Lytechinus pictus: one gene and its partner. The protein of the gene in region 2 binds, or shares a complex with, the protein of the main gene of each other region. Links are inferred from orthologs where the notes say so. Each region holds a gene or a part of one and is shown on either strand. Other genes may lie near its edges. The genes, in order: glutamyl-tRNA(Gln) amidotransferase subunit A, mitochondrial-like; glutamyl-tRNA(Gln) amidotransferase subunit B, mitochondrial-like.

The links.
Region 1: glutamyl-tRNA(Gln) amidotransferase subunit B, mitochondrial-like (region 2) and glutamyl-tRNA(Gln) amidotransferase subunit A, mitochondrial-like share a complex: the UniProt entries of both Homo sapiens proteins name them as parts of the heterotrimeric GatCAB amidotransferase (AdT) complex. The link is inferred for Lytechinus pictus from reciprocal best matches to the Homo sapiens genes GATB and QRSL1.

Annotation. Positions count from the first base shown.
Region 1 is NC_087248.1:5,491,952-5,508,220, forward strand, and holds the start of glutamyl-tRNA(Gln) amidotransferase subunit A, mitochondrial-like, read right to left. Parts: upstream 6,161-16,269; 5' UTR 6,018-6,160; coding exon of another isoform or gene 5,973-6,017; 5' UTR 5,727-5,972; coding exon 5,703-5,726; intron 4,964-5,702; coding exon 4,804-4,963; intron 2,410-4,803; coding exon 2,311-2,409; intron 1,641-2,310; coding exon 1,544-1,640; intron 746-1,543; coding exon 548-745; intron 1-547. Other genes in the region: cell division cycle 5-like protein, read left to right, coding at 5,973-6,017, 6,998-7,101, 7,252-7,413, 8,292-8,422, 9,098-9,426, 10,159-10,238, 10,568-10,643, 11,550-11,711 and 5 more. UniProt on the Homo sapiens protein: Allows the formation of correctly charged Gln-tRNA(Gln) through the transamidation of misacylated Glu-tRNA(Gln) in the mitochondria. The reaction takes place in the presence of glutamine and ATP through an activated gamma-phospho-Glu-tRNA(Gln).
Region 2 is NC_087249.1:39,941,508-39,958,265, forward strand, and holds the start of glutamyl-tRNA(Gln) amidotransferase subunit B, mitochondrial-like, read right to left. Parts: upstream 8,069-16,758; 5' UTR 8,054-8,068; coding exon 7,914-8,053; intron 6,913-7,913; exon of another isoform or gene 6,817-6,912; intron 4,133-6,816; coding exon 3,979-4,132; intron 893-3,978; coding exon 779-892; intron 60-778; coding exon 1-59. UniProt on the Homo sapiens protein: Allows the formation of correctly charged Gln-tRNA(Gln) through the transamidation of misacylated Glu-tRNA(Gln) in the mitochondria. The reaction takes place in the presence of glutamine and ATP through an activated gamma-phospho-Glu-tRNA(Gln).

The DNA of each region.
Region 1 (16,269 bases), on a different chromosome or scaffold from region 2:
GAGTAGTCATCAAGAAATGATCAATGTCTTATCAAAGACCAACTTCACAACAGAACGATGCCTGAAGATAAATAGATCCTTCTGTATCTCAATCAAGCTCTAAGGGGGAAGAAATAGAATATTGGTTAAAATAATTATAAATGTTGAGAAGATAAAGTCAATGAACATGACCTGAAGGAGTGTCCAGAAGAAGGTATAGAACTGTCAGGAGTGGAGATCTTTCATACATGCCAGGAGGCATAATGGGCAATAAGTATGTAAAATTATAGTAAAGAAATTTATAAAAAATACAGTATTCAAGGATGCAGTCAGTAGGGAATGCACACATGATTAAATGAATCTTCTAAAATAATACATACTGATTTGATAACACGTAATTTTATGGTGTTAAAATCATTGTTAAAGAATTAAAAAAAACATAGACAAAGACACATTGTGTAAAATAAGATGTGCATGACAAAATACTGTAAACAAGCTAACCAGGAAAGTGTTATGAATCTACTTGGAAAAAGGGCTAACACTAAGATAGGAGAAATAACTGACTTACGCCAGGCACGACCCACTGGCTACTGCGACACCACTTCCTCCTGAGCTGCCTCCACTAACGAACCAATCAGAATCAATGATATCATCTTCAGAACTATAACTCCCTCCAGTATTCTGGGCTTGACGTTTCCTGACCCGATGAAAGGGGTACCTCCATACATTACGTGTAGGTCCAAACAAACTGTCTGTTGTACCACTCCTTCAGACAAATATCACAAGATGAAACGATGAAAGGACTTTAGGTATTTTCAATAGAATTTCAGAATGTGTAATAAAAAATTTCCATTCTAAAATATTTAAATATTATAAGCTGGAGCACTTTAAATCATCTAGCTCACCATTATCATCTTTGACATCAATGAGGTGCTCTAAAAGTAATTAGAGGCTTAATTTGTGAAATGCTTCCTAACAAAGTACAAAGGGAATATTCTTCTTACATCATTAGCTCTACCAGGAATAGAGTAATTTAACGTAAATTGCACACATTTATAGATATCAAATCAAATAATAAATTATAGAAGTCCTTTCCAAAGTAACCATAAAAAATAATTTTGAATTGGATCAGGTCTCATCTGTTAAACACAGAATGGTATTAATGAATCAGCAGCGAAACCAGATGGGAAGCTAGCTGACTGACTTGTTCAAAATGTAGGAACAGATCAGGAGTGCAGTGTAAGCACTTTCTTTACAGCTTGTATGCTCATGCAAATCCATCAGCAATAAATAAAATGGGGGCTTGGGGCCAATTCACCCCTGAAATATATCATAATACCCTGAAAAATTTAAGAGAGCCCCTAACACTCCCATAGGATCCAATGTAAATTATGACACAATGTAAAAAAATGGTTGTTGAGTAAAAAAAAAGTAGCCCTGGAATCAATCAATTCATTAATTTATTTGTTCTGTATAGTCTTGTCTGCTGAAATAACGATACTGTACTCCAATACATTAATTTAGGACAGTAATGATTCTATTATCATGTTATAAAACAGCTTACCCCATGGCAAACTCATCAAGGTTAGTTTTTCCCAGAAGGATAGCACCATGATCCTGAAGTCTTTCTACCACCGTAGCTGTGTATGGTGGCTTATAATCTATAAAGAAAAATAAAGAATCAATGAATCATTGAAAATTGTACTCGGCTTTGATAGGTATTTGACACCATTTGGTTGTTGACCAGTAAAAGGTGATGTCCATCATCCAGAGGGGAATGAGAATGAAATAAATGTAGAAGTGTTATAGCTCAGTGGATAAATCTCTAGATTTTGAACCACAAGGTCCAGGGTTCAATTCCCACCACAGCACTCGCAGCCTTTGCCAAGGCTTTTATCTACATTTGCCACTCTCCACCCAGGTGTAGTAAATGGGAACTCAGTAGGAAGGAATTCCTTGAAGGCCTCAGTGTCAGTATGGAGTGCTTAGAAACATTTGTATTAAGCGTTATATAAATGTATATTATTATTATCATTTATTATGTATGATTTAATTAGCTATGATCTAAAACACTGTCCTCTAAACTAGTAGCTAACCTGGCCAGAAATGCCAAAAGCTGAATTCCCAGAATTTCTATGGTGTAAAAGCTTCTTAGCTGTACATCCAATAAGAAGCTCTCATTACATGCTTTTCACATACATGTATAGTCAAGGGTAAGAAAATGAATACCGGTAATCCTCTTCCTATGCAAACTTATCGTACATCTAAAAAGTGCTGAAAAGTAATGCAAACCATACTATCAGAAGACACAACTACACAAAGTTTACTTACTCTCTAACATTTTTGAGCCACAAGTTGTTCTAAGCCCTGTTGTGCTGTAGTTGTCCTTGATAGTTATAGGTATCCCACCTAAACAACCTACAGATGCACCTGATAAATGACAAATTGGATCATTGATTCATTTAGTGTCACTCTTTGAAACATAATTGAAATTCTAGAATATAAACTGGCCAGCAAAAGAAAGTACCCACTTCTATCAAAGGCTGCACACAAAAATTCACCCCATAGAAATAAACAATTTTGTACACAGGTATGCTGCAATATCCATTAGTAATCACATACCCAACAGGAAGTGATTATCTTTATTACAAAGAAATAAAATGACATGTACAGCATCTTGGTCACTGAATCAAAAGTCACAAAATGTAACAGAATGAGCCGTCCATTCACTTTGACATATTGGTTGTTAAAAGATGTTGTCCATTCAGTGGCCATTTTTGCTTGGTGGAAAGTGCTTTTGTGTGGGACTTTTGATTCAGAGACAAAGATGCTATGCATGCCAAGTTCTTCTTTGTTATGAAGATATTCAATTGCTTATGTACATGTGATTAGTAATGGGTATTGTAGCACACCTGTGTACAAAAATTGTTTATATTTATGTCGTAAATTTTTGTGTGCGGCCTTTGACAGGGGTGGGTACTTTCTTTTGCTGTCCAGTTTAGTATCAATATACTTATTAAATCCAAGAAGAATCATATAGCAACCTTTACTTGTCAAATCTGATTACCAGGCATAAACTCGCTAACCTGAACATCTATGTAAGAATAATGCATTTAATGAAATTTAAGCCTTTTAGGGTAAATTAAGAAGAAAATATATGGAGGGTGAAGGGATTTGGAAAAGGGAGAATAGTGTGGATTAAAATAATAGTGGGTTACAGCTGAAATCTGGGGAAAAAATAGGGCAAAAATACTCAAAGCTGTAACATAAAAAAAGTTCTGGATAAGACCGTAAATAACCTTTAATTACTTCATGAAAATCTTTATAATAAAAAGTTTGGTAAAAGAAAAAAATAAAGCTTGCACAATTCTACACCTTCATCATTTTCCCTATCTTCATCAGATGTAAACATAGGTGAATCTAACAACGTAGAGTTTATGATACTCTAATACTTTACTTCTACAATTTGGATGAACATATTCAATTAATAGAAATGTGTTTCAATATATGTGACATTCAAAATATGAATTTTCAAAACATGGTATGTTATTGAAAATGCACAATATAATATTTCCTTCAGGAAACATAATGTAAACTAAATTGTAAGCAATATGCATAATAAAATATTTACCATGATCAAATATGAATCCAACTTGTTTTTAATAATAGCCAACTTCATATGGAAACACAGTAAACAAAAACTGGATAAAATGAAAGATTACAGTATTAGGACTTTATCTTCTTTAAAAAAATGAGCAATTTGCTTTCTATGTTAGCAATTTGTATTTGGAATAAAATTCCCTTTCAAGTAAACTCCTGTTTAGTCAATTACATGTTGTATGAAAAAAAGCATTGAAAAAACATTCACCTCAATAAGTTATAGTTAATTTTTCATCTTCAGAAGATGTAAACATAGTTAAATCTGAACCAAGATATTATGAAAGTTTAAAACTGAGTAACACTAATACACACAAAAAATTTAAATATTTTAATCTTGCATGAATCTGAATCATCCAAGAACTTCAGGAGAGATAACACATCATGCTTTGAAAATTAATATTTTCCACATGTTATTTGTTGACCTTTATCTATCATCTGATTCTGTGTTATTCTCATTACAGTATCTCATTGTTTTTCTGATTTGACTAATTTGATATCTTATGAAGATGAAAAATAAAATGAAATATTGAAAAATTGACTACACAGAATGTCTGGCCAATTCAGATTCAATCAAATTTCTATAAACCAAATTGAAAAGAGAGACACAGATGCTTATCAACAAAAAATGTTGAAAACCTGAAATTTCATGGCATCATTTGTTATCTAAACACTGACAAACACAACGATGGAATCTTTGCTTGGAACATGAATCATATTGTGCATAGTGCTCTAAGCAAGATTGGAATATTTACTATAATTTACCATGAATTTTAACTTTAAAAAATCTAAACAATTGAACACTGAATGGAAGAATGAAAAATTTATTGACCATTAAGAAAATGAGAAATCTGCTTTCCATAATTGAAATTTGTATTTGGAATAAAAAAAAAAACCTTCACATAATCAGCAGTCTCTTATGAATTAAAAGTTGTGTGAAAGAAAATATAAAAAAAAGATTGACAAAATCTACCTAGATTGTAACATAAATTTTTCCACCAAAAATATTTTCATCTTCTGAAGATGTAAACATAGTCAAATCTGAAAAGATAGAGATTATGATAGTTTAAATGAATAACACAAATAAACTAGATTCATATAAAAAAAATTCAATCTTAGCCATTGGAAAATTTAAGACTAACACTGTAACAGTAAAAGTGAAACTACCTTTATTTATTTTGTCTTGGACTTTCTTTGCATCTTCCAGTCCTTGATCAAAGCACTCTGTTACAATAGCATTCAGCTCTTTACAGCGCCTTGCCCTCTCTGCACATCTGGAACAGAGCTCAGTGACCGAAAGCCGACCATCACGTAAGCGAAGAGCAATCTGCAATGATGGAAATTTAAAAAAATGAAACTTTGATTTGAAAAATAAACTTTTCATGCTTCAATCTACATGTATATTTACATCTGGAAAATAATATTAATAAAGTTAAGTCTTAAGGCTATAGTATATCTATGTTCCGCAACTTTGACTTTGAGTGGATTATGTCAAGAACAAAATTATCAAATAAATCAAGTGATCACCCATCAGGCGATTATTAGCCCCTCAAGGCTCAAGCTCAACTAACTTATAGTATACCCAGAAAATAGTTTTTAAACAGGTAAGGAAATAATTTAGATCCCAAATTGTTTGGCATTTATGTAGATCTTATTCTAATTTTTAGTTAGAAATTATGGAATTAACCGAACACACATCAACTTAATTAAGTCTTAACCACATGTATGTATGGTGATATAGATCTAGGCCATAGACTATAGTGACTGATAGATTTGCATACTGATCTATGATATGCCGCCCCCACCCTTTCCCCTCGATCACATGCTGCAGTCCCAGGCCCAAACTTGCCAAAGTCAACAAATTCACGAGTGAAGAGTAATCAATATTGCAATAACATAAGCTCTCACAATTTTTTGAGTTTGTGGGACTGAGGTGAACAAAATAATTCCCTGTAAATTAAAAAAAAAAAAGTCAATTTAAACATTTACTTCAGAGAAATACATACTACTTTTACATGAACAAAGAGCCGAACAAAAGATATAACAGAAACATAAATTATATTTACCTCACGAATAGATAAACCGAACATTTTTCGTAAATCTAACTGTTATTGGAAAAGTCGCAGCGCACTCAACTGTCGCGAGAGAAAACGTAGATTTTTGTCCAGTCGTTTTATCAATTATCTTTAAAATGCGCGGCGCAAAAGTACGTGCATTCTCTCTTTCTTTTCCGGTTAGCGCCTAGCGCATAGCTAGGAGAATAAACTACAACTCGTTGCGTGATATTCTCCCTTTTCACTTCTCAAACCTGAATTTTGACAAGAAAGACTGTGAAAATGCCACGAATCCAGATTAAAGGAGGTGTTTGGAGGAACACTGAAGTAAATATTTATGTTTTAGTCTTATTCTCCCTTAAAAATATGTTAGTTTGAGTTAAAATCCATCAGAAATTTCAGTTAAATCGGCGATCTTTGCAAAAAAAACTTGCATGTTTTGCAGTGTATGACGTGCTTTTTGAGTGTGTATTGTGCATTTTAGGGTAGTGTGAGAAAGAAAATTCAAAATTGAAGGTGTTGAAGGATCAGAAATTCAGAATTAAGGAAAAAGAAATGGTTTTAACTTTTATTGTGGCAAGTTTAACACCCATCATTAATGGCATGCCTCATTAATTTAAGTTAAATTAATTTATTTCAGTCATCAGTCACTATCACTCAGTCATTTTGATTCGAAGTGGAGACCGTCCCGATGCCAGGACGTTACTGGGCCAGGGCCAGGCCCTTGGCCTTCATAAAAAATGGCCAACAGAGAATTTAAAAACAAGGGCCATCAAATTGAAATACATTATATGAACATATTTTTTTTTAATGCACCAAGTATAGAAGACATCACGTCGAGACGGGAGATCTTATGGGACACTCTTTATTTTTTTTACGGAGATTACGGAAAAGAATCCGTGTAACTTTTAGAATATTTTGTCTAGCTACAAATAGGTCAGTTTTACCCCTAATTCATCATAAAATTTAATTTGTTTATTGGGGTAAAAATGTTTTAAACAAAAGGATTTAAGGCGTTTTAAAACAAAAAAACTTTAATGTTATAATACAACCCTGTTTTAAAGATTAAATGACCTCAGTCCTCCTCAGTCCACATGTCTGCTGCTTGTGAGGCTTGACTTACTCTTCTGGTGAGAATTTATTCATGGATTTTAAGTACATTTAAGTGCAGGTAATCAATGTATATCCACATGGATTAAGATGTATTTCGATATAAATTAGAAATATTTATTAGTATGATTTCATAATTGAACTTTGAAGGGTTTTATTTTTCAATAACCTATTATCCTATTTCTTTTGTGCATTAGGATGAAATCCTCAAGGCAGCTGTGATGAAATATGGCAAAAACCAGTGGTCTAGAATTGCTTCACTGTTACACAGGAAATCAGCTAAACAATGCAAAGCAAGATGGTAAGTTACATCAATTTATCATGGGGATGTAGTGTTTTCTTAAAACTGTCCATATGGAAGGTATTCCTAATTCCTTATCAAATGTGTAGATATTTCATTTGCTTGTGCGTTGAAATTAGAATTCAGCTTTTCTCTTGTTCTTCATCTTAGGTTTGAATGGCTGGATCCGAGTATCAAGAAAACAGAATGGAGTCGAGAGGAAGATGAGAAGCTCCTACACCTGGCTAAGCTCATGCCTACCCAATGGAGGACCATTGCACCCATTGTGGGACGTACTGCAGCACAGTGTCTGGAAAGATATGAAATCTTACTGTAAGTTACGATCTCACTCTTCAGTGAGATTTTAAATCTAATTTATAGGCCTTTGGAGTTTGAAATGGTTATCAAATTGTAATTCTTGTGCTCTGATTACTTCTGTATTGTGCAGTTTTGTTCACAATTGCTCTGCCAAGCAATGAGATTCAATTTGTCGTAACTCATTTATGAATGTATCATTATCTATTGCAAACCTATTGATGTATTGGCTTTGGTATCTATATCATCACTTATACATGTTTAAGTGTCTCTGAATACATAACAGTTATGTATTCAGAGATTTGAGGAACACATGCGTAACAAACCAATCATACAGCATGTATTTCGCATTGAAATTGAGACACAGAGGCCATACTGTTTGCTTGCTTGGTTGTAATAGATATAACATTAACTTTTGATGGAAAATGAATGAGTATTGATATCAAACTATGATTTAGGCTCGTACCTTTGTTTTAATAAAGCAACAGCCTTTGTGGAGTTGTCATGTTCAAGTGGTCAAAGGAACCCTATTACACATGAAGGTACAGGGTTCAAAACCTGACCACAGCACATGTGCCTCTGAGCAAGGCAATTTATTGTCACTGCCCTGTCATGTCTTATGAATGGCTACTTTAAAGGTTCGTCCAAGATAAAATAATCCTGTACGATACACATCTGTAAAATCAAAAGTCTCATGAATACAGATGAAAGTCTTGACTTCAAGTTTGAGAGCACACATGGGAAATTTACTTCCTAATATTACCTTTTTAGATAGATACATGTATGAAATATAGTATTTTAGAAAGATGTTTTTAACCTTGAGTAACTAGTTTCTTTTAGAACTAAGTTCTTGAACAGTTTTACATTTGAGATGTTGGTATCATTTTGATGACCAGTGATCAAGCGCAGAAGAAGGAAGGTGATGGGGATACGATGGATGATCCAAGGAAGCTGAAACCAGGAGAGATTGATCCTAATCCAGAGACTAAACCAGCTAGACCTGATCCTATTGATATGGATGAAGATGGTAAGGAATGAAACGATTAAAAATCATCTCCTGAAACAAACTAAAATAATGATATTCCATTCTTGTACATTAATAGGGCATTTCACATTATCATGTAACAACTCATGTGCTTTCAAAAGACTTGATATTATTACTCTGGTTTTAGCCTGCATACTTTTATAGCACACAAACATTTCTAGGAATAAATTCCTGACAGATGATCATTAACCTCACCTGGTTCAAAATAGACCTTATACAAATATGATACTAGACAAGCCTAAGGAGATGAGGAAAATTGAACTTATCATTAAATGAGATGAGATAAATGTTAATCTGAGATAGAAATAACTCGTACTATCCACATTGATATATGCAAATTTAGCTAATAACATAAAAAAAAAAACAAGATATCAAATGGTGAAGATCTTGCCTGCTTTGGTAAACTACATGTTATCATTATATTAGGAACATTGTAACTTGTTTTGTTGATTCATCTCAGGTCTAAATAACTTGTAAAATGTGGATAGTGATAAATCAAATGGAGTATTGCGTGCACTATTGCCTGTTTAAAGTTTGTTAGGGTTTGTAATGTACATCTCTATGTGGATATAGTAACAGATGTATCAAATAAAAACTTGAATGTAAATTTGATCTCATTTCTTACAACTGTTTTGTTTGTTTACGTCCTCAATATAGAACTTGAGATGTTATCAGAAGCCCGTGCTCGTCTCGCCAACACGCAGGGTAAGAAGGCCAAACGGAAGGCTCGTGAAAAGCAGCTTGAGGAAGCGCGACGTCTTGCAGCTCTTCAGAAGCGTAGGGAACTCCGGGCAGCAGGTATCGAGGTCAACAAGAAGAGGCGCAAGAAGCGAGGCGTTGATTACAATGCTGAGATTCCGTTTGAGAAGAAGCCAGCGCCAGGGTTTTACAACACAGCTGATGAAATGGTCGCACCTGTGGATCCAAACTTCAAGCGGCTTAGGAGAGAGGATATGGACTCTGCTCGTAGAGATGAAATTGAAGAGGTACATTTCATGTTTTTAATAAATTGATTGATGAATTGATTTATTGACTGATTATTTGAATTAATTAATTGATTAGATTATTAAATAAATTGATCATTGATGGGTTGATTGGATGATAGAAAATGTTCCTTTTCAATATATTTGTAAACCATTGTTAAAAGTGTAAATTATGAAGTCAAATTATCGGAAAGAACTGTTTGACACAAAAATGGAAAAGAATGGAGAACAATAGAACGGAATCAGTCAGAAGGTAGAAACTTGATAGAATAAGACAGTACGTGTACATGACAAGATAAGAGAGCCTTCTTTTTTTAATAACAAAACAAGATAAAAACAAGTTGCAGAAGATTGAGATTTAAAATGGGAGGAAGAACTGAATAACATTCCAAAATTGACATTTGTTGTATAATAATTGTTTAACGCTATACTTATGCTAAACAAAAATGCCAGTTTTGCCTGGAAATTCCCAGGCTTATAATTTCATTGGGAATAAAAAATTCATTCATTTCTAAACTGACTTTAATTGGTATTACATGTACAGTATATAGCTAGTTGTGTTACCAAATGGATGGGTAAAGCAGCCATGTAATGACAATATGAATGAATAAACTATTTCAGATGACATTTTTTTGTCTTGTTGAGCACTTCATGTTAATGTCTTAGATGAACCATATGACCTTATAGGTTACATCTATATTTTCATAAACAATTCTTTTTCAATTTCTCTGACAGAGAGAACGAAAGAAGGATAGACAGAAGTTGAAGAAGAGGAAAGAGAATGATTTGCCTGGAGCTATCGCTATGACAAACAAGTAAGTGTAGAACTGTCATTTAAATTCGTGTACAAGTGTAATGATACAAAGCTTGTTTACCAAGATATTTCATCAAAATGGCAAAGTATGAAATAATCCAACACTGAAGTTATTAGCATGGTAACATTGAAAAAAAATCTTTAATAGTATTAAATGCAAAATCTTTCTTTGCTCATCCTGTTTGAGACAAGCAAATTGCATTTTCTAATATGTTATTTTTTTTCTTTTCAGAATGACCTATAGTGAATAAGCTTTTCACTGCTATTAGATATTCCATGGTCTGACTTATTTTCATGCTATGTTATGCACTGTTTCATTTGTTTTCATAGGATGGCTGAGCCAATGAAGAAGCGTAGCAAACTTGTCTTGCCTACTCCACAAATATCTGATGCTGAGTTAGAAGAGGTAAGTTCAAGATGAATAAATGATATTATATATATATCTACTCTGTGTAAACTTGGGCCTATTTTTAGTATATTTAGCAGCATAGAAAGGTTTTGAAAGAATTATACCCTTGAGAATTTTCCATCTTATTCAAGAGTATTAATTAGGATTTGAATTTGTAGATTTGGCCTTCACTTTTTTAAGTTTTTTCTCTTTGAAGCCTTATCCAATGTTTAGTAACGCAAGTTTATGAAAACAAGCAGGGATCATAGGGTCAAGGCACGAAATTTATCATTTATTTGAACTTCAGGGCCCTGTGGCATAAAAGTAAACATTATGATAACTTTGCCATGCAATGGTAATTTGCGTGGAATCCTTGATTCTAATTGGCTGTTGATCAGTGTTACCATGGTAGTTACCATTAGATGGCAAAGTTACCATAATAGTAACTTTTGTGCAACGGGGCCCAGGCCTTTTATGGCCAAGGTTTGAAAGCATCCAGTTGTTTTAGTTTCCATTTCAATCCAATTAGTATTTGAATTTTAATTGTCTAATATTCATCACTGTTGAATATTGTATTTACATAGTTTTTTTTTCCATTCTATTTCATTATATTTAATTAATTTTTATGTTCACTTGCTCCTTCAAAATTATTCATTATCTATGTACATCACAAATCCTAACATGTACCTATTTAAATTGTTATTGTTGCTTTTACCCATGTATGACTTGTGAATATTTTATTGTAAACATGCTAATTTCAGCCTTTTGGCTGTGTAACATGTATTGTTTTTATACAAAATAAACCATAATTGAATTGAATTGAAATAGGTAAATGTCCAATGTGTTTTTTATTCGTTTGGTTTGTACGAGTATCAAAGACTTCTTTTATTCAATGGAGTAACACCAAATCTTTTGTCCATATAGGTTGTGAAGCTTGGTCAGGCTAGTGAGAATGCCCGTCAGATCGCTGAGGAGGGAGCTGTCAATGGTGCATCGGATGCTCTTCTTTCAGACTACACTATGACACCAGGACCAGCCAATCTCAGAACTCCCCGTACTCCTGCAACACATGATACAGTACTTCAGGTAATCATCACCTTGACATTCTTCCTTTCTTGCCCCCCCCCCCCGATTGTCGAGGATCAGTGGCTATCTGTGTGTTAAATCTTGATGAGTAAAATCTTCTCTATTTGCATTTGATGAATTTCATGAATCTGTGTAAGGTAGGAAGGAATTCCTTGAAATTCTTGGAGAAATGTCTTGAAGGAATTCCTTGTTTGCATGAGCACCTTATCGGATAGCTGTGCTATAGCTGGGGTAATAGTAAGAGGACTTGCATTAAGCCCTATGTAAATGTTGCATATTATTGTTATTCTATACTGGCTGACAAAGTGCCATATAATTATGAGGAGGGTAATAGGAATCTGGTAGTGAAGATTAAGGATTAATCCATTACCTTCTGGAACTGGTTAGTCGATGTACAAAGCCTATGGGAATGACAGAATTCAAAAGTCAAAGGTTGTACTCAAGTAAATATACTTGTCAATTTTTTCCCATACACTGGATACCTGATATTGTATAATAGATCCAGAGATGCACCTCCAATTGTTTATCTTTCTACTCTTTTATCTGTGTTCAGGAGGCACAGAACATCCTTGCACTGCAGAACGTTGAAACGCCATTGAAAGGAGGTTTGAACACAGCAGTAGGAAGCAGTGATTTTGATGGTATCACGCCCAAGAGACAAGCTACACAGACACCTAACATGGCGTTCAATACACCATTCAGAACACCAGGTCATGAGTCACAAGCAAGTATGTTCAATTTCACATTTTCACATTCAAATTTGTAGAGACAGTTACGCATGGAGATATATTTAGAGTTCAGAGTTCATTGTTTGTCCAATTTCTTTTGATATAGAGCCTTAAAAGTCCTATGAGAGAAAGAGTAAATAAGCTCTGCATATTTTATGCCTATTTTAATGCATCTGCATCTTTCCTTCAATGCCATTTTTTTGTAAAAGGAGAATTAATCACTTGATTCATAAGGACATTGTTTATTAACTTTCTCTATTTATAATTAATTCATGAACTTGAATAGAAAAAAATGCAGCAATGAAAGAAATATAGTGTTGCCCATTTGAAGAAAAAAGCTAATCAAATAAAACATCAATTAATTTCCCTAATAGGCCAAGACTGCAAGTCTATATATCCCTTTCTAACGATTTGATCTATTATTTCTCTCTGATTCTCTCTCATAAGTGCATTTGAGAGAAAAAAGCAGGACATGACATTTTTGGAGCATTGTGGCCCAGTGGATTAGTCTTCTGACTTATAAACAGAGGGTCGTGGGTTCCAATGCCAGCCATCGCTTCATTTCCTTCGGCAAGATGGCTATCCACATTGTGCTACACTACCCAGGTGAACTGCGTTATTATTATTATTATTATTGTTATTAATTTATCTTATCTTATATTTATCTTAACTTATCAGGTTTGACCCCTCGGATGACCCCACGGATGGGCACTGGTGGAGGCCAAACCCCAGGTCAGACTCCGCTACGTGACAAACTCAACATCAATCCCGAAGAAGCTCTTATGGAATTTGATAATGTACACAGTGCCAAACAACAACAGGTATGTTATTAACACTAGATTGTATGTTACATTGCCATTTGGTCTACACCCACTTTGTCTTATGTCAGTTTGATCTCATTCAAAATGGTAAAGTTCGGGCCAGGGATGGGGAGATAATGACCATATGAGGCAAGGAGAAGAATATGCAGTGTACATAACATTACTTAACTTTTTCCTCTCTTATAAAGTTAAATTCTAGTCTATTTTGATGAAGAGCACCTGGATAAACAGGCTAAAGTATAAACTATTGTAAAAGATGGAGCCCAGTCCTCTCATAGTGTATCATACTTGTAGTGAATTTCCCTTAAAATGCCAATGATACCTTCCCTTCAAATTGCTTTGTTTTTATTTCGGAGGGAAATGAAGGCCAAACTTCGAAGAGGCCTATCATTACTTCCAGCTCCAAGGAATGATTTTGAGATTGTGAATGACACGACATTGCATTAATTATTTTGTTTATTTCAGAGGGAATTGAAGGCCAGCCTTCGAAGAGGCCTATCATCACTGCCAGCTCCAAGGAATGATTTTGAGATTGTGAATGACACGACATTGCATTAATTATTTTGTTTATTTCAGAGGGAATTGAAGGCCAGCCTTCGAAGAGGCCTATCATCACTGCCAGCTCCAAGGAATGATTTTGAGATTGTGAATGACACGACATTGCATTAATTATTTTGTTTATTTCGGAGGAAATTGAAGGCCAGCCTTCGAAGAGGCCTATCATCACTGCCAGCTCCAAGGAATGATTTTGAGATTGTGAATGACACGACATTGCATTAATTATTTTGTTTATTTCAGAGGGAATTGAAGGTCAGCCTTCGAAGAGGCCTACCATCACTGCCAGCTCCAAGGAATGATTTTGAGATTGTGAATGACACGACATTGCATGAATTATTTTGTTTATTTCAGAGGGAATTGAAGGCCAGCCTTCGAAGAGGCCTATCATCACTGCCAGCTCCAAGGAATGATTTTGAGATTGTGATACCAGAGAATGATGAGAAGCTGTTAGAAGAGCCTCAGGATAATTCAAACCTCATTGAGGATGCATCGGATGTGGAGAATAGACGACTTGCAAAGCTGGCAGAAGAGAGTGAGTCCTTCTTTGGTGTCTTTGCTGTGAAATCTTTAGCACCATGATTTGGCTTTTGAATGACATATTTTCTTTTTTAGCAAAAAAGCAAGTGATTAAGGTTGTCTGCTCAAGTAAACTTTTTTCATTTCCTCAGAAGGTTTAAGTGAATTACTCAAATGCACTCCTTTTAGATTCACCCTTTAATGATTAGAGTACTGATATGTTATGACTGGAATCTATCACACGGCTTTAAAATAAGTTTTAATCCAACTCTCTGATACTGAATTCATTTCACCATAATAAATGACATTAAAATATTATGATAACAAGGTTGAAGGATGTCAAAACCATGATCACTTATTAAGTTTATCTTTTCGAGGTCGACTATTGGAAATTGCACAAAATGGAAGAGCTGGGACCAAAACAAAAATGACTGTAATTTGATTGATACTCTGTGATATGGTGGGTGTTTGCCACTAGCAGACCTGCAAACCAATACGTTTTAGCCGTATTTAGTACGTTTTTGCAACCAAAATACGGCAGTATGTTTTTTCTTTGAAAAATATGATTTTTGTAAAAAAAAAAAAAATAATCTCTATATGTCTCTATTTCATAAAACGTCACAAATATGGTTATTAGATCAATGTAATTTCAGGTAACTTGTTTTTTTTTTCAATCATTTTGTTAAAACCAGGGTGAAGATATACACATGTTTTAATATTTTTTTTTTCCATCTGCAAGAGCAGTGCGCATTTTAGCTTGCATGCAGCTTGAGCGCCGCGATGAGCGAGTGCGCCAAGTATTTTGTTATGAAATACACTTTTTTTTGGAAAATACAGTTTTTTTTATCACAGACTACAGTTTTTTATTCCCAGAGGTTGGCAGGTCTGCACTAGTCTGTCTGTTAGAATTAGAAAGCTTTGCATGTTTTGATATTTAAATACGATCATGGATATAGTGACCAGACATGTCTCTTTAAATATGATTCCTTATTATGAATATTGCAGGAGAGAAGGAATTAAGGAGTAGATCTCAGCCACTCCAGAGAGGTCTTCCAAGGCCTGTGGATATCAACACATCTATCCTGAGACCAAAGGACCTTGAGACTCCTATTACAGAGCTACAGAAGGTGAGGGACCTTTCCTGATCTTCTTATGTCTTGAATAAATGGAGTATTTTGTTTAAAAGTTGTAAGGCCATGTCTTTTACTGATGGATGGATGAATGACTGACAGCATGAATTTGTGGATGAATTTATGAATGAGAGGATGAAAGGATAAATGAATAGATGAATGTATAGATGAAGGCATAGGTGGATGTGTGGATGAATGGATGGATGGACAAATAGATAGAAGAACTAATAGATGGAAGGATGAATGGATGGATTAATGAATGAATAGATGGGTTGATGGATGAATAAAAGGATAGATGAAAGAATGAATGAATGGTTAGATCATGGATGGATGAATGAATTGATGACTGGATAGATTAAAGATTGCATGAATAGATAGAATGGTGAACAGAGAGATGAATGGATGAGTTGATGGATGGACAATGGGATTTAGGGATGGAATGGATGAATGTATAGTTTGGAAGGAATCCTTTAGAATAATGGTATATATATATTCAGTCGCAACTGATGAAGTTTTTAATATCCACAATACCTTTCACTGATTCTGAATAATATCATATACCTTGCAGGCTGAGGAGATGATCAAGGTGGAGATGATAACGATGCTGCATTATGACTCCTTGAAGAACCCTGTTGGGGATCAGCCAGGGATGAAGAAAGGTGATAAACCAACCAGTAAGACCAACCCAGCTGCACATGCAGCATACCTTGAACATCGTCCATATCACCAGTATGAGGAGGAAGATATGAAAAAAGTAAGTAGTCAACTTAAATGAAGCACAGGAATCATAAGAATATGGGGCTTG
Region 2 (16,758 bases):
AACTCCACACGCCCATCGACTGCTAGGGGAAGTCTCTGCTGGGTTATCTGGTAACCTGCCTGCAGGATGTTGGGGGGGTTCCATGAAATATTCATGAGAAATTATGCAAACAGGGGAAGGTTGACGATGCAAGGGTTGGAGAGGGAGGGGAGGACGGAAGGGGTGGGAAGGTGCAAGGGAGAGGAAGAAGAGAAGTGAGGGGGTGAAGACAGGACAAGGGGGAGGGAGACCGGAATGAAGGGGGGGGGGTGAAGGGGGAAAATGGGAATGGGAGAGAGAGAGAAAGGGAGGAAATGGGGTGGGTGGGGAAGAGGGAGGGGAAAGTAATTGGAGATCGAATGGGAGAAGAAGAGTAAGAAAGGGAGGGGGAGGGAATGGGAAAAAATGAGAAGAGCACTTGAGGAATGATAGGAGCAAGAAAAGTGAAATATGGAGCAAACGGAAGAGAGAGGAAAGAGGAAAAAGGAGGAAAAGGGAAAGTAAGTGGGGAGGAAAAGAGAAAAAAGTAATAAAAGAGGAAATGAAAAGGAAGGTGGGGAGGGAGAAGAGGATGGGGAGAGTATGGGAAGGGATGCAATAAAATATGGAGCCAAGGAATTGGATTTGTCCAATTTTTTTTAGGATTGGATAACAAAGACACACATTAAGAAAAAATAATCAACTGCTACAATCAAATTGACTGATATTTAAAAAATATAAAAATACATTAATTAAACTGTGATTTCTTAATTATGCTACTATAACTAATTGAAAAAAAGTACAGTCTGATGGGATTTACCGGTAAATCAGCGTAGAAGTAGTGTTTACGATCAAAGACTGAACGCATGTTGAGAGAGCAAGAGAGGGCTAGTGCTGTCAGCACACCCGCTTCCACACATCGTCTATTCAAGACCTGCAATGACAGCGATCCAACATGGTAAATCATGATCACATATATGTGTAAGGATGTCAACATTATAAAAGGGGAAAAAGAAGTGAAACTATAGGAGATGCAAATAAAGTTAACTGAAGCCGAAGAAGTCTGGTTGTGCACTAATTTAATTGCTGGAATACTTTGCCCCAGCTCAACTCATGGCCACTGAACAATTTACATATATATTTAAATCAGGAATATCACCCAATCAAACTAAAGAGAATGGAAGGATCCAACTATATGTAAGAACCCAATTCATAAGGTAAACCAATGAGGAATAAGGAGGTGAAAATAATAAAAATGTCTGGGTGATTATGTAATAATGGAAATAGAAACTAAGGAGAGAGGTGAGGATGGAAAGAATGAAACACCTGAATAGAGAAGGAATGAAGATGACAAAGGAGGAAAAGAGGAAAGGTATTCAGAGTAAAATGAATGAATGATAACTGAATATCATTAAACTCAAAAAACCTCAGCTCAGACTGCAAGGGCAGTGCTGAAAAGAAATGCAAATGAACTCAAGTCTAGACTGAACAGATATGTAAAACAGCTGGAGAAAACACAAGTTAAAGAAAATAAACAAGATAAGAAAATGACAAAATAACCATCTTACACATGTATGTTTCTATAACAAAAAATATTCAAGGTTGAAATTTCCAAGGGAGAGAGGTAAAAATGTAACAACTGATAGAAAAATATAAGAAAGTTGTCCTGATTAATAAACATACAGCCAGCTTTCTTGGGAAATCATTACTTAATAGAAAAGGAATGAAGATTACTTAAGAGAATGAAAGGACTTCAGAGTGGAAAGAATGAATGGCAACTGAATATATCAAAAGAGAATGAAAGTTTGATCCTTCCATTATCTTTATTTTGATTTGTTGTTATTCCTGGAGAATAGACTAGTCGGGTAGTAGAGACCACATTGCCCGAATTCACAAAGGTGGTTTTAAAAGGTTTATACAAATTTCCTGTATAAATGACACCCATTTACCACATATAATAAACAACGACCAATGCTGATGCACGCTTTTGTCACAGTGCGCCAAATGTACGCCTGTTGCCATGGTTAACACGCTTTTATTCACGAGTCCACTGTTTTGAAGAGTGGACTCATGAATTAAAATAGCATGCTCAACCATGGCAACTGGTGTCCATTTGGAGCACTGTGACTAACACGCGCATCAGTATTGTACATTTTTTAAAATATAACTGAAGCATATTTCATACAGGAAATCTGCATAAACTATGGGTTCAAACCTATGGTTTTCAAAATTACCTTTGTGAATTAGGGCCAATGGGTGTAGCTGATGTAGTGTTAGCCCGGGGGGGGGGGGGGGCACTTACATTGTCAAGTGGATACCATGCGCGACCAAAAAAAACATGTAACAAGTGGAATGCCTCTGGCCGTCTCACCTGCATCACGCGATTCAATATAGCAGCAGTGCTGATTTTGAAAACTACTATAACTCGCACAAGATGTTCAGTGATACTTGGTTACTCTTATTTCCACGTTTTATGAACTAGACCAATACACTTATAGAGATATGATGGCAATTCAACAAATACCCCCAACGTGGCCAAAGTTCTTTGACCTTACATGACCTTTGACCTTGATCATGTGACCTGAAACTCGCACAGGATGTTCAGTGATACTTGATTACTATTATGTCCAAGTTTTATGAACTAGACCAATACACTTATAGAGATATGATGGCAATTCAACAAATACCCCCAACGTGGCCAAAGTTCTTTGACCTTACATGACCTTTGACCTTGATCATGTGACCTGAAACTCGCACAGGATGTTCAGTGATACTTGATTACTATTATGTCCAAGTTTTATGAACTAGACCAACACACTTTCAAATTTATGGCTGTAATTCAACAAATACCCCAATTTGGCCAAAGTTCATTGACCCTAAATGACCTTTGACCTTGATCATGTGACCTGAAACTTGCACAGGATGTTCAGTAATACTTGATTACTATTATGTGTAAGTTTCATGAATCAGATCCATAAACTTTCAAAGTTATGATGGTAATTCAACAGATACCCCCAATTCGGCCAAAGTTCATTGACCATAAATGACCTTTGACCTTGGTCATGTGACGTGAAACTCATGCAGGATGTTCAGTGATACTTGATTAACCTTATGTATAAGTTTCATGAACTAGGTCCATATATTTTCTAAGTTATGATGACATTTCAAAAACTTAACCTTAGGTTAAGATTTTGATGTTGATTCCCCCAACATGGTCTAAGTTCATTGACCCTAAATGACCTTTGACCTTGGTCATGTGACATGAAACTCAGGCAGGATGTTCAGTAATACTTGATTAACCTTATGGCCAAGTTTCATGAACTAGGTCCATATACTTTCTAAGTTATGCTGTCATTTCAAAAACTTAACCTCAGGTTAAGATTTGGTGTTGACGCCGCCGTCGCCGCCGTCGGAAAAGCGGCGCCTATAGTCTCACTCTGCTATGCAGGTGAGACAAAAATGATGTCTTTTTCAAGATAGGGCACGTTACGTACGTAACATAAGGGTGTCAAAAATACTAAAATAATGAAAAAAGGGTATCTATTTTCGCTGGGAAAGCTTCGTGTTTAGGGCAAAATTTGCGAGGGTATGAAAAATTAAGACTAATATGTTTTATAAAGGATGTACTCTTTGCCCCAAGAGTCAACACTACGTGGGGGCTGTACTAAACCCAATGATGTAGGTAAAGGTGAAACCGACGACTGACGTCCGCGACATAATTGAAATATCGCTGTACTTGTTTAGGGGTTCAATTCAGGAAATACTTGCCAATAGTAAAGTTTTGTTTCCAATACTTGTTAAGGGATGGGGTTTCACAAGCCAATACTTGTCAAGGGGTGCATTTTCAGAACATGGAAAATACGTGTTTAGGGTGCTTTTCAAGACCCCATGGTCGCGCATGGTATCCACTCGTCAATGGAAGTGGCCCCCCCCCCCCCCCCCCCCCCCGGAGTGTTAGTTAATACTACCCGACAAATAATAGACCAATTGCTAGTAAATAAGCCTCCCAACTATACTAACCGGAAGAGTACCTGGCAGAGAGGCATCAAAAAAAGAGACTAGCGAGTTTGGTGGTGCCATGAATTGGGCCTTAGAAGCAGAAAATAGTTTGGTATTGGAGAGTATCTGGGCATGAATCTCAAGGCCAACCATGCTGGACCATCCTTCAAATGAACTATAGAAATAAAATTATCAAAAACATGAAAATTCTTTAAAAATATTACTACTGAGGAGAAGACAACAAAGAGGAAGAGGGGAAAGAGGAAGAGAGGGAGGAAGAGTAGAAAGAGGGAGGAGGAAAAATGAGAAGGAAGAGACTGAGGCCGAGGACAATGAGGAGACAGGGGAGAAGGAAAGGGAAGAAAGAGGAAAAGCAAGAGGAAAAGCAAGAGGAAAAGGACATGGAGAAGGAAAAATGAGAAGGAAGAGGCCGATGAGGAAAATGAGAAGAAATGGTCCCCCCCCCCCCCCCGAGTCCGCATTCCTAGCTTAAGTTTAACACTGAACAGTGCAGTTTCATTTGTCATTTTGGCGACGTGTGCTTGATGCAAACCACTCATTCTATGATATAACCCTGTTCTCTATTACTACTCCCTGTGTGGTGAAATAAGGTTGGCAATGTTTGGCTTATTTTCTCTCTTTCTTTGGGACAAATGCTTGATTTTTGGCACTGTCAGTTTCCATTACAGCTATTCATCATATAACTTGGCTCTAAAGTAAATTCGATTCTATAAATTATTTTTTCTTAATTAAAAATAGAGATTGAAAAATGAGAATTGTCTTGCCATATAGAGGGCGTACACGAAAATATGCCCAAAATTCAAGTTTTCAAGCGCTCTGGTGAAAAAAGTTACTAATGAAAAATAAATTGCAACTGTATGGACTATGGAAATTAGTATTTTTGGTCACAAAAGTGATATTTTAATGATTTTTTAAATTGTGTGCTGCGTACAGCATTGCCATTGGCATACCAGTCCTACCTGTAGATTCCCCACAGGCAGGATGATAATGAAACCTTGAGTGGATGCAAACAAGTACCAGGCATCTTTGAAATTTGGCGTAGATGCAGTTTCGTACGGGCCGACTTTGAGCAAATTTCCCCACAAGAAATTGTTCGCAAATGTCATCTGATCATGGCAAGTCTCTCAGTCACATTTCAAGGTCAATAAACAATATTCCCAACCGCTTTTCCAAATATCGGGAACGGCTGGATTTCGGCTCCTAGTCCTAGCTCGATCATTATTATCGTTCTAAGTAATATTAACCAGTGGGGAAATTTGCGCTAAGAGTCTTACTAGTAAGACCCTAAGTCCTAACGCCTAAGTCGGGCCTAAGAGTAGGGTGTCTGAAGCCACACTGAAAAGTGTCAGCATAAAACAGGCTGATTTTAGGAAAAATATGGCACATTTTTTCGGGAAATTCAGGCTGCTAGAAAAATGTGATCTGAATTGATTAACTTGTTTGGCATGTATGGAAAGAGAAAATTCAGGGGCTTCTTTTGACATTAAGGACAAGTTTATAGGATTATATGAAATAAGGATTTAGAGATAAATTGCAAACCCTTATTTGTGTGTGTGTTGAGATTGCCATTTCCCCATGCGTTTTCTATGGGAAAATGACATTTCTGTTATGCACAATTTTTTTCACTTTGTCGCAATTTTTCATTGTGATCTGGTTTCCAAGTCTTTATAAAAATCATACCATCAGAAAGCGCATGAAAAATCATATTTGACTCTTCATGGACAAGTTTTTGGCATTAATAATAAATTTATAACAGCTCTCGGAAGCTAAAAATTTGGATTTGTGTGTGTCCATTTCTTAACTACACAGTCTATGGCAGAGAAATGCTGAAAATTGACCTAACTTCATTCTTTTTTGCAGCCAATTATTGGATTAAAAAAAAAATGTTCAATTTCTGTCAGTTTGAAGCCGTGAAGGTCATTATTCTTCAAATTCACAAAGAAAATTTGATATTTTCTTGAAATAAGAAAAAAAAAAAAAATTCTCCAGACACCCTACTAAGTAAGACTCGCAATCGGCCAGTGCAACTGCAGTCTGTAGCCTGAACTGCTGAAGGCTATTAGCGCAAATGAATTTTAATTTCCAAACGCCATGCTTATTAGGACCTGACTAACGTTAATCATTGTTAACAAATGTCAGGGTTTAGCCTAACCCAGGGAGCGCCGGCCCGCGAAGCGGGCCGGCGCCCAGGAGCTCACCGTGTATTTACCAATACTCACAGGACAAGGGTAGATTATGGTCAAAATATCTACATGTAGCAAGATAAATTGTGAAAACAGAAATTATGCACTTACCACGATTATATGGATGAAGGTCTATCGAGTGGTAGAATCCTGACATCCAGGCACAGACTGGAACCTCAAAAAACCGAAAAGTTCTCTCCTTCTACCCCAGTCTCGATCGGCCATTTTGTTATGATTCATAACAAAAATGGCCGATCGAGACTGGGGTAGGAGAGAACTTTTTGTTTTTGAGGTTCCAGTCTGTGCCTCGATGTCAGGATTCTACCACTCGATAGACCTTCATCCATATAATCGTGGTAAGTGCATAATTTCTGTTTTCACAATTTATCTTGCTAGATATTTTGACCATAATCTACCCTTGTCCCACTCACACTAATACGAGGTTAGTATATGTACTAACCTCGTACAAGGGACCGTGTTTGACCCTGGATTTCGAAGTAGTCGGCAAACATCGCTTCATTGCTGAAGTAATATCTGCCGAAACTCCTTCTCGCTAAGCACCGGGGCTCTTTCCGGTAAGTAGCAATACATAAACAAATTATACATATGATTTTGAAATAATTTCATTATAATAAAAAGAGCAAATTTCGCTTACCTCGGCCTAGCAAGTGACTTCGTTTGTCTCTTCTACGGAAATACAAGGAAGCCCGTTGGTGGCGCTAATAAATTTCACAACCTTGATTCAGCTCCTCTGTAATTTTATAAGTATAACTGTCTAAATTCTTTGAATGCGCAATTCTTATGATTAATTTACTAATTATGGGCACCAATAAATGAAATACAGTTCAAAAATATAATTCAAGATTACTATTGGCGATGATAACACTTTTTTGCAATTAATTTAAAACGATGACTAATAAAATAAAATTGAGAAAAATACACATGCCTGGAACGAAACCAGCAGTACAACAATTGAACAAGCTTTAACGAACGTCAATAATACGGTATACCAAAGTCTATACAATGAAAAGATTGGACACTTCACGGACTTCGCGTAATACCTTGCGTGGATTTGCGTGTAAAATAGTGTAGGTGCCTAGTCTTTCCCTTGTCATGTCTTTGATATGAATATTAATATAAATCGCGCGCCCTCTTTAGGAGAAAATTGATATCCACGCCAACCAATTTTTATCTCCGTGAAATCTTCACTAAAGATCAAGAAAATATAGGGCCTACATATTTTTTAAAAGAAACTTCAAGGAGAAGTCACGGAAGGATCTAAATGATTTGGTAAGTGTCATACTCATACTCATAGCAGAATGTGAAATACCATTTGTATTTGTAATAGGCCTACCAGATTATGCGTGATATTTTATGTGGGCAAAAGCCCAGTATATTTTGGATGTGTCGTGTGAATATGACTGATATTCTTTCGCACGCGAGACGATATGAACCCATGGGTGCACTTGTCCCGTGAGTATGGGTAAATACACGGTCGGTGAGCTCCTGGGCGCCGGCCCGCGCTCCCTGCCCCTGGGTTAGGTTTAGCCTTTACTTTAGGCCACGCCCACGCCGCCTTCATTCGGCAGCGGCGCTCTTGAGTTAGCGACGCCGACAGCTCCGGCCTCGTTCGTCCCGCGGTTGTGTTCATTTTGCCGGCCGTGCACTGCAGCGCCGCGACCCGGCCGAGCCGAGATTGTCTCGGTGCAATTCCACGCAAAGTCAGACGACTTCACAATGATTAATACTAACCAATCAGAAGTTACAGAATAATTTCTTCGTTTTATTGCTCTCCAACCACTATAAGATCTTCTCAAGGAAATCACAACCGGTTTTTGGAAGGCAGAAAACCTCCACGATGTGCTCATGCAAGCTGCCATCTTTAAAAACATCGAATGTGCAGAGCGCCCTCTTGCGCTTGTACGCGCACGCATGAGGAATGCACGGGAAGAATGTTCCCAAATATAATTTATGCGTTTACTTTTTAGCAATTAAAGATTCCCCCTTTTTTAAAGTATTTAGCATTGTGCTTTTTTTTTATTTATCCCCTCCCCCCCCCAAAAAAAAAAGAGCGAAACTATCAAAATAAAGATAACACAGAAGCCAACTGATGAAAAGTAAGAGAATTGAGCATTTAATTTTGTAATTCTATTTGGTTAAAAAAAATATTTTACTTATTTTATGATGAAAATTTGTATTATCTTTAAAAATAGAAAAGAAAAGCGGGTGTAGCAATTCGGACTATTACTAAGGGTTGTTAGTTATACATGACTTTGCTTATGACTAAGAACAGGTTCTTAAGTGCCACATCAAATTCTCAAGATTTCCGTCAGCCCCCGGCCGGCCGTTAGCTAAAAGTTGAAATCTGATTATTGTAACGTTAGACAAAAACTCTTGTCAACCAGCATCTGAATGCATATTTCAAAATTTGTCAATAATCTAAGGGCAACAGGGAGTTCATACCCATTACGTTAAAAAAACATGTAAATTGGGATCTCTCAGTTTTAGTGCAGGATGAAGAGCCCAGTTCATAACTTGTAACAAATTTGCAATTACGGTTAAATAAAGCTACTGAAATCCTTCAATCTGATGATAAATTTGATGTGGGAGTTGTGCGTTTGTTATTGTAACAAGTGTTTATGAAACAAGACCTGATGCGTTGCCAGTCATGTGTCATTAGTTACTTACAAACAGCTAGTTTTATGAAAAACCCCATTTATCAGGCCTGCCAACATTTGAAAATGAAAAAAAAAGGTATAATCGCACGGCGCAGATTTTTCTGCTCGATGTCAGGTGTGTCTCCCTCACTTTTTTTTTTAATCAAGACATGTTTAGCATTCTTATATTTAAATATTGAGAAATTACACGTTTTGAAAAACTATATTACTCTCACACCCATACCCCGCCACACAAATACATGTACACGGGCCAATTTTTTTTTTTATCTTAAATAAATGAAAAACGGAGTGCTCCTCTTTTGCTGGTTGATAACAAATCTCAAAAGTGGGGTAACTCCAGGAAAAAAAGTAGTTGGCAGGCCAGATATATTATCAGAAGGGAAATTCCATGAAAGGATCAAAATGTTGGTATTGCCAATCCCCACCCCCCCCCCCCCCGGCCCCCACACACACAGTTCTTCTGCATTTTAACTTTGACTTCATGAATTTCTGAAACCATGATGACTTACCCACATTGTGCTGCACTCAACTCAGGTGAGGAACGCAAATGGGTACCGGCAGATGGTAATTCCTCAAAAAGCTGTGAGCACCAGAATTGGTAGACTAGCTAAGCCAGGTTAATATGGGAGCGCCTTGAGCACTTAAGGTGGTTATATGTGCTATATAAATCCTATATCATTTATTATTACATGTATTTATTTATTTGAAAGCATTACAACTTTTGGTTCCACGACATTTGTTACAGTGACATTTGCTCTATAAATGCAACACACTAATCAAATGACTAACTTCAACCCTGGATTTAACACTATACCCTACCTTAAACCTAACATAAAACCCTATTGCAACCCTAACCCCAAAACTACGTCTTAGACGAAATGAAAATAAAGAACAATTGTCGCAGAAGCAAATGTTGCGTCACCCAACTTTTCATATTTAATATCCAATTTAGTATTTAATAAGGACGCATTTGGCAGTGATATGCGCTATATAAGCATGTTGGTATTATTATATATTCACTGAAAAACTGAGGCAAATTGTTTCAGGAAGTTCCCACATATAAGGGATCATAATTATGTACACACTTTATGGAATTTCCAAAAATTTCACATGTCAAATGTAGGTCTTCTCTATCAATGAGATTTCATTTTCTTTTCTTTTTTCTGTTGGAGAGTTAAATAAATCACTCACAATACTACTAACTTCTTTAAAGGGAAATGCTATCAGAGAAGAAATCAATAAAAACATTATTTTTATATAATTTCACATTTATTATGATATATCTCATCTACACCACATCATAGTCTCATTTCTGGGTCTGGTTTCATAAAGAGTGGTTAAAATAACAAATGCACATTTTCTATATCAAGTTTACAATCAGCCAATCAAATCGAATGATTTAATTTGCTTTAAACTGTTATTGAAAAATTTGGTATTATAACCAGTTATATGAAACGGGCCCCAGCTCTGTAGGATTCACATTCATTTATATACTAAACATTATGAAAATCTCCACAGCCTACCTGCACATTACCAAATATAATCCCACTAAACAAATTCCCAAGATAACCAAGAACTTAGGCAGTTTTACAAAATGATGTTGTGGTGGCTTGATTATGGTGACATTTGTGCTTTGCACAAACAATGAAATCACACATCCTTGATGCATAAAACTGACACTAAAATAAATTTTCTTGTATAATAATAAAACATCCTTTGCTAACATAATTGTATGTATTTACTGATGGCATACTAAGTATTAACCACCTCAAAAAACAATGGCATGACTAACAAAACAAAGATAAAGTATGATTTAATCAGTTCAGGAAGAACATATAATATTTCAACTTCTTCCAATCTAGAAGGCTTGCCCATCAAACTTTAGCTTGGAGAAACTGATTTTCGATATATTAACAATTTCGTTTAACAATCTTGTTAGAAATATACCCTGACAAGCCTTATCTTTTTGAGCATATGACACAGAATTTGAGAATTATTAAAAGTAAAAATAATTTTGCACGAAAATATATATCACATTATCAAGATGAATCTGTCATATTGCTTTTAGGTGCTATAAGCAAAGTATGACTGCTTTGCAATCACTTTCAACCATGTAATTATATTACAAGCTGTAAAAAATAAAATCTTTGTAGTTCATAATGCAGTATCTGAAATACTGGTGACATTACACTCAATATATTTAAAATTTGTGAAATCCTACATTTTATAACCCCTTCCTTTCACAAATACTACAATTTTACCATTTAACTTTATTTTAGAAAGAAAGGATAAATAGAATGCAATATCTAACTGACCAAAGAATTTGGTTTGACTGACAGTTTTTCAAAGTGTAGGACAACACTCAAACACTAGCTAATCACTTCACAGAAAACCTTCTGGGTTGCATGCGTGCACATTAAGTTATTGAAGCAATCATCAGACACGGACAGATACAAAGACTTAATCAGTCACTATCAGTAGTCCCCAGCTCTGCCGAATATTTCTTTTGGTGGAATACAAACTATGATTGTCAACAAAACATGTAATGCATAAAGTCGCTCGTAATTTCATGAAACACCGGACCGGACATTAATGCGTTTAATAGAAGAGGTATCAATTACAAACACTTCAGGAAGAGGAAAGGATAACGTTGAGGGCTGCCACAAAATACAACCTTGCCTGGCATTGCATCGGCCAGCTAATATATTTGATATGAATCCCACCGCTGCCACCAATAAGGATCTATGGCATCGGGTCAAAGTGCACTGGTAGGAAAGGGTGATGGAGGTAGTCAGACGTCGGACAATGCAGCAATACCTGGTAGGTTCTTGCCTGTATGGGATATGAAGCAAAAGAATGAAGAAAATTCTTACAAATTGGTAAATAACAGAGCACAGAATACTTAAACAATAAAGCGAGATGAATTCTCAAAGACAAACTTGAATTTCATGCCTCTGGCATATGTAAAGATAGAGAGGGAGCAGATGGCAAAGGGTGATTTTCATGATATAGGTGGGGTGCATCTCACTTGCTTCCACCCCCCCCCCCCCTGAGTCTATATCTTTCTATACAACATACCTTCCAAGAGCTCTAGACTAGCCCCGCCTCCAGTACTGACATGGCTGACGAGATGCTCAGTGTTATACTTTGCTGCACACGTCGCAGTATCACCTCCGCCTGTCATAACAAAAATATATACATTTTTTTTTAATTTTTAAGACAATAACATATTACAATATTTCTCACCAGCAATCCCAAACCCCCTCCCCCTCCTTATCACAAACCCTCCCCAAATGGATTAAGATTCAGAGGTGGATCTATGCCCCAGGATTGGCTCCTGTGTTTGAACTTTGGTTACTATCAATTGTATGCCAGTGACAACAATGATAATAATATATTGGACTTTTATAGCGCCGAATCCACTCTGTAGAGTGCTCAAGGCGCTATTCAAGAATTATGAAGGAAATTAAGAAGAACTGAATAGCAATGCTTTTAGGGTTATTTTTGTATACAAAAACTCCTCATAGGTAAAAGTGATTGGCTGATAGTAAATTTGGCTGTAGAAATTTGAATGTGTTAATGACAGGTTTTATGAAATGGGACCCATGCTGACTGAATGTTTATGTTGGGATGAAATGTAAACCCAAAGGACAATATTCTGAAATCCCCATTTAACTTAGTCTGAGGTCATGGTCTAATTCTGTGGCAAAATGGAGGTGCCGTGGCCGAGTGGTCAAAGGCGCCTGACTGCACATAGAAAGTCCAGGGTTCTATCCTCGGCCGCAACACTTACGCCCATAAACAAGGCAATTGATCTACAATGTTTTTATCCCGCATTCAAATAAATGAAAAATGCTACACACATTCTTGCTAAGTAGGTGTGCACTTGTTGTTAAAAAAAAAATTCTGTGGCAAAATTATAGGAAGCCAACAAATTTCTTGTTACCATGTTCTTTCATTAATAATGATGAAGGAAATTATATAAGAAATTACTATAAAATACTTCAAAATGAATTGAGCACCAAATGTGCTGACAAACGGATCCTTGTCTCACAATTGGCTATCCATAGTTAAACCATGACTTCGAAGTTGTGGCAAAATTATAGGAAGCCAACAAATTTCTTGTTACCATGTTCTTTCATTAATAATGATGAAGGAAATTATATAAGAAATTACTATAAAATACTTCAAAATGAATTGAGCACCAAATGTGCTGACAAACAGATCCTTGTCTCACAATTGGCTATCCATAGTTAAACCATGACTTCGAAGTTCAGAATAAGGGTCAGAGGATCTTGAGCACAAAAATGTCAAAATAACTTAATGAATGGATGGATGGATGGGTTGGTGGGTGGGTGGACGGGTGATGGATGGATTGATGAATGAATGAATGAATCAAATAATCAATCACAATCGATCAATGAATCAATCAACCACTAATCAATGAATCATTCACTCAGTAAACCAATCAAATAGCCAATCAATCAATCAATCAAAAGATGAATGAATGGATGGATGGGTGGATGGATGGGTGGATGGATTGATGAATGAGTGATTAGACAGTCAGACCGCAGCTCGCGCGATAATGAGCATATTCACGGAGATTTATTCAGCGGCCCTCTAGCGGTCTCCGAAGGAAAACGTGCGATCAATTTGGCTTGATTTTCCCACTGAATTGGAGGGGCTGAAGTTATAGCTCTGCACTGGTCGCTAACTTCAGTTTACGTCGAAACGAATTGTGGTAAGTTATTCTCAAGACCTTCATCTACATTTTGGTATATAATTTTCCATATTTCGACATTTTCAACCTACCATTTTTACCTCTTTAATTGATGCTTATCTTAGTAATATTTTAACTGCGATTTTGTAGTCGGAATTTCACTTTTGGTTCCTGACTTTGCTACATAACCAAATTGTTTGAATCGGGATTTTTTAGAAAGAAGAAAAGTCACTTTTCAAAATATGTCAGAACCAACTTGACGCAAACTCACCTTATATTTTTATTTTAGAGAAAATGATACCCTAAAAATCAAGAAATTTACGTTTTACCCGGAAGTAACCTTCTCGTTCACTCCACGATGGCGCGAAATAATGCCAAAATTACGTTCGTCGCGGGTTGGTAGAATTTCGCCTTTGGTCCCATACGTTGAAACTTCTGTAATGATGGCAGATGGCTCGCATTATATTTGTGACTGTGGACGGTGGACTTGTTTTTTTTTTTTAATTAAGACTTAATAATAATATAAACGAAGCTTGATAAGTAGATCCCTTCTAAAGTTTTATTCAAATGATTATCAGGTTTCCGAATTCCATCAAGTTTTTATAGATTGAGATATTTCTTGATTTATGTTGAAAATTGTTAACCTTTTTCCTAGTCGAAGTTGAGCCCCATGATGATTTTTGCCCCAGGCTGCGGTTAAGAATTAAATGATGATTAGCTCAGACAGTCTACTCTAGAGACTATAAACAGTTTAAAGTCAAAGTAAAAAGTCTGGTACTACCGTACTCAGTAGTATTTATAAACCATTTTGTTCAAATAAAAAAATTGTGGCTGTCACAGACAGTACTTAGTTAGTCTCTTAATTGACTTACATGTAACATAATTCATACTTTGAATAATTTAGACTATTTCTCTCTTTTTTGTCTCTTCTACACACAGATCTGCATACTTGCTGACTCTGGTCTCTGCTTGCTTCTTCATTCTGGGAGATTCCATCATGTCCTATAATGGTCAGACCATGATTTGGACAAAGCCCTTTTTTCGTTTGCAAATTTTGGACTGATAATGATACAACAGAAAATTGATCTTTATCGATATTGGAAACAAAAAAATTAGAGCACAGTTTTGGGGAGGACTAAGAATACTGACTTGGACAGGAATACAGCTTGACAAAAATAAAAATTCACAATTCAAAACCAAAGAAAATTTTTAATGCATTGCAAGAAACTTTCTACTCAATCACACATTCCAAAATTAAGGGTAAGTCCTTTGATTAAACACAAACATGTAGTTGATTTGCAATTGAACATAAGTTTCTTGCAATGCCCCATAATTATATTTTGTTCTCAAGCAACTCTGTTATATGTTATCTAATGTGCTGAAGGTTAAGTGCCATGTATGTTCACAATTTTTTTTTTCGAAAGGTATAATATATTTGTCGTTTTAAACGGTATTTGAATGTGGTTACGCCTTGTTTTTGTTTTCCACAGTAATTATTGCATATATGAACAGAAGTGAAATATTTGTTGTGAAGCACTGTATGAATGTTGTGTGATCATGGAGCTATGGTGTGATGGTATTATAATTAATTCATAATTTTTGCTATAAGACTGTAAACCTGGTGGATGTGAGGGAGTGGCCTGGATGAAAGGAAAGTGAGCATGTGTCCAATTACTGATTTGCATATGTTTAGACAATTTTGATCGTGGATAAATATTAATGTGCATTCCCTATTCCAAGCAAAGAGTAAAGGAGAAGTCCACCCCACCAAAAAATTAATTTGAATTTAAAGAAAAATAAAGTATTGCAGAGAATTTCATAAAAACTGATTCAAAATTCAAAAAATTACTATTTTGACATTGAGAAATTTGCCTAATTTTATAAAACAATTATATGCTCATCTTGGTCAATGTGCAAATTACAGAACCGATTATGTCACACGCACTCTAATTTCTTGTGTATTTTTTTGTTTGATACATGTACATGACATGTATATTTTATTTTAATTTTCATTAACAAATTTTGAGAGGGATTTTAATTCCTCCATTAACATTCGTAGTTTCCATAAATGTAACCTATTGTACGAAGCCCCAAACCGGACATTTTTGACATCCAAAAAAAAAAAAAATTATCACGTACGTACGCAGTATACGTACGTACGTGATAATTATTACGTACGTACGCAGTATTATTACGTACGTACGCAGTATTATTATGTACGTACGTGATAATTATTACGTACGTACGCAGTATTATCACGTACGTACGCAGTATTATTACGTACGTACGTGATAATTATTACGTACGTACGCAGTATTATTACGTACGTACGTGATAATTATTACGTACGTACGCAGTATTATCACGTACGTACGCAGTATTATTACGTACGTACGTGATAATTATTACGTACGTACGCAGTATTATCACGTACGTACGCAGTATTTATTACGTACGTACGTAATGTTATCTCCCAAAAGGTCATACATGAATTCAAATACCGGTAGTTACTGAAATCTGATCACGCTAGCGCGAAGCCCGCAGGCTTTAAATTTTTATGTGGGCCTACAATAGGCCTTCTGCTTTGATTGTTCCCGCATAGAATTTCCCTTTAAATACCAGCCTCTTCAAATAGTTTTTCTTTTTTTAAACACCTATACATCTTCACTTAATTTACATCAATTAATACCATATCATATTCAAATTTAAGCAGAGAACGAAGCAATTTCAAAAGGGTGGTAAAATAATAGGGGCTCATACGTGTCGCGTGTGGGTACATTTTTGAAAAAAACTGTCTCGCCAAAACACTAACATAATAGGCCTTTAATTGTCCTTTCCCCAATGTGTTTCTAGCAGTTTCTGAAAGGAATGGTTTAATTGAAAACACAGCCTGATGACGAGAACAAATGAAATGGTTATCATATGAATATTGTGGGTTATATAGCAGGGACCTGGGAACTCGCGGGGGTGCTGGGGGTGTTATTTTCCATAGGCAGCACCCCCACGAAATCAGGTTCCCTTTGTATTTTTTATATATGTTATAATGTACATAATTATCACATCCGACAATCGCAAATCATACAACGTCTTTCACATATTCCAATAACATCCCTCCTATAACATGTAACGCGACTCAATCAAGCTCCGGCACGCCGATACAGACGTATGTTAAGGTCTTAAAGAGGACCTGAGCTTAACG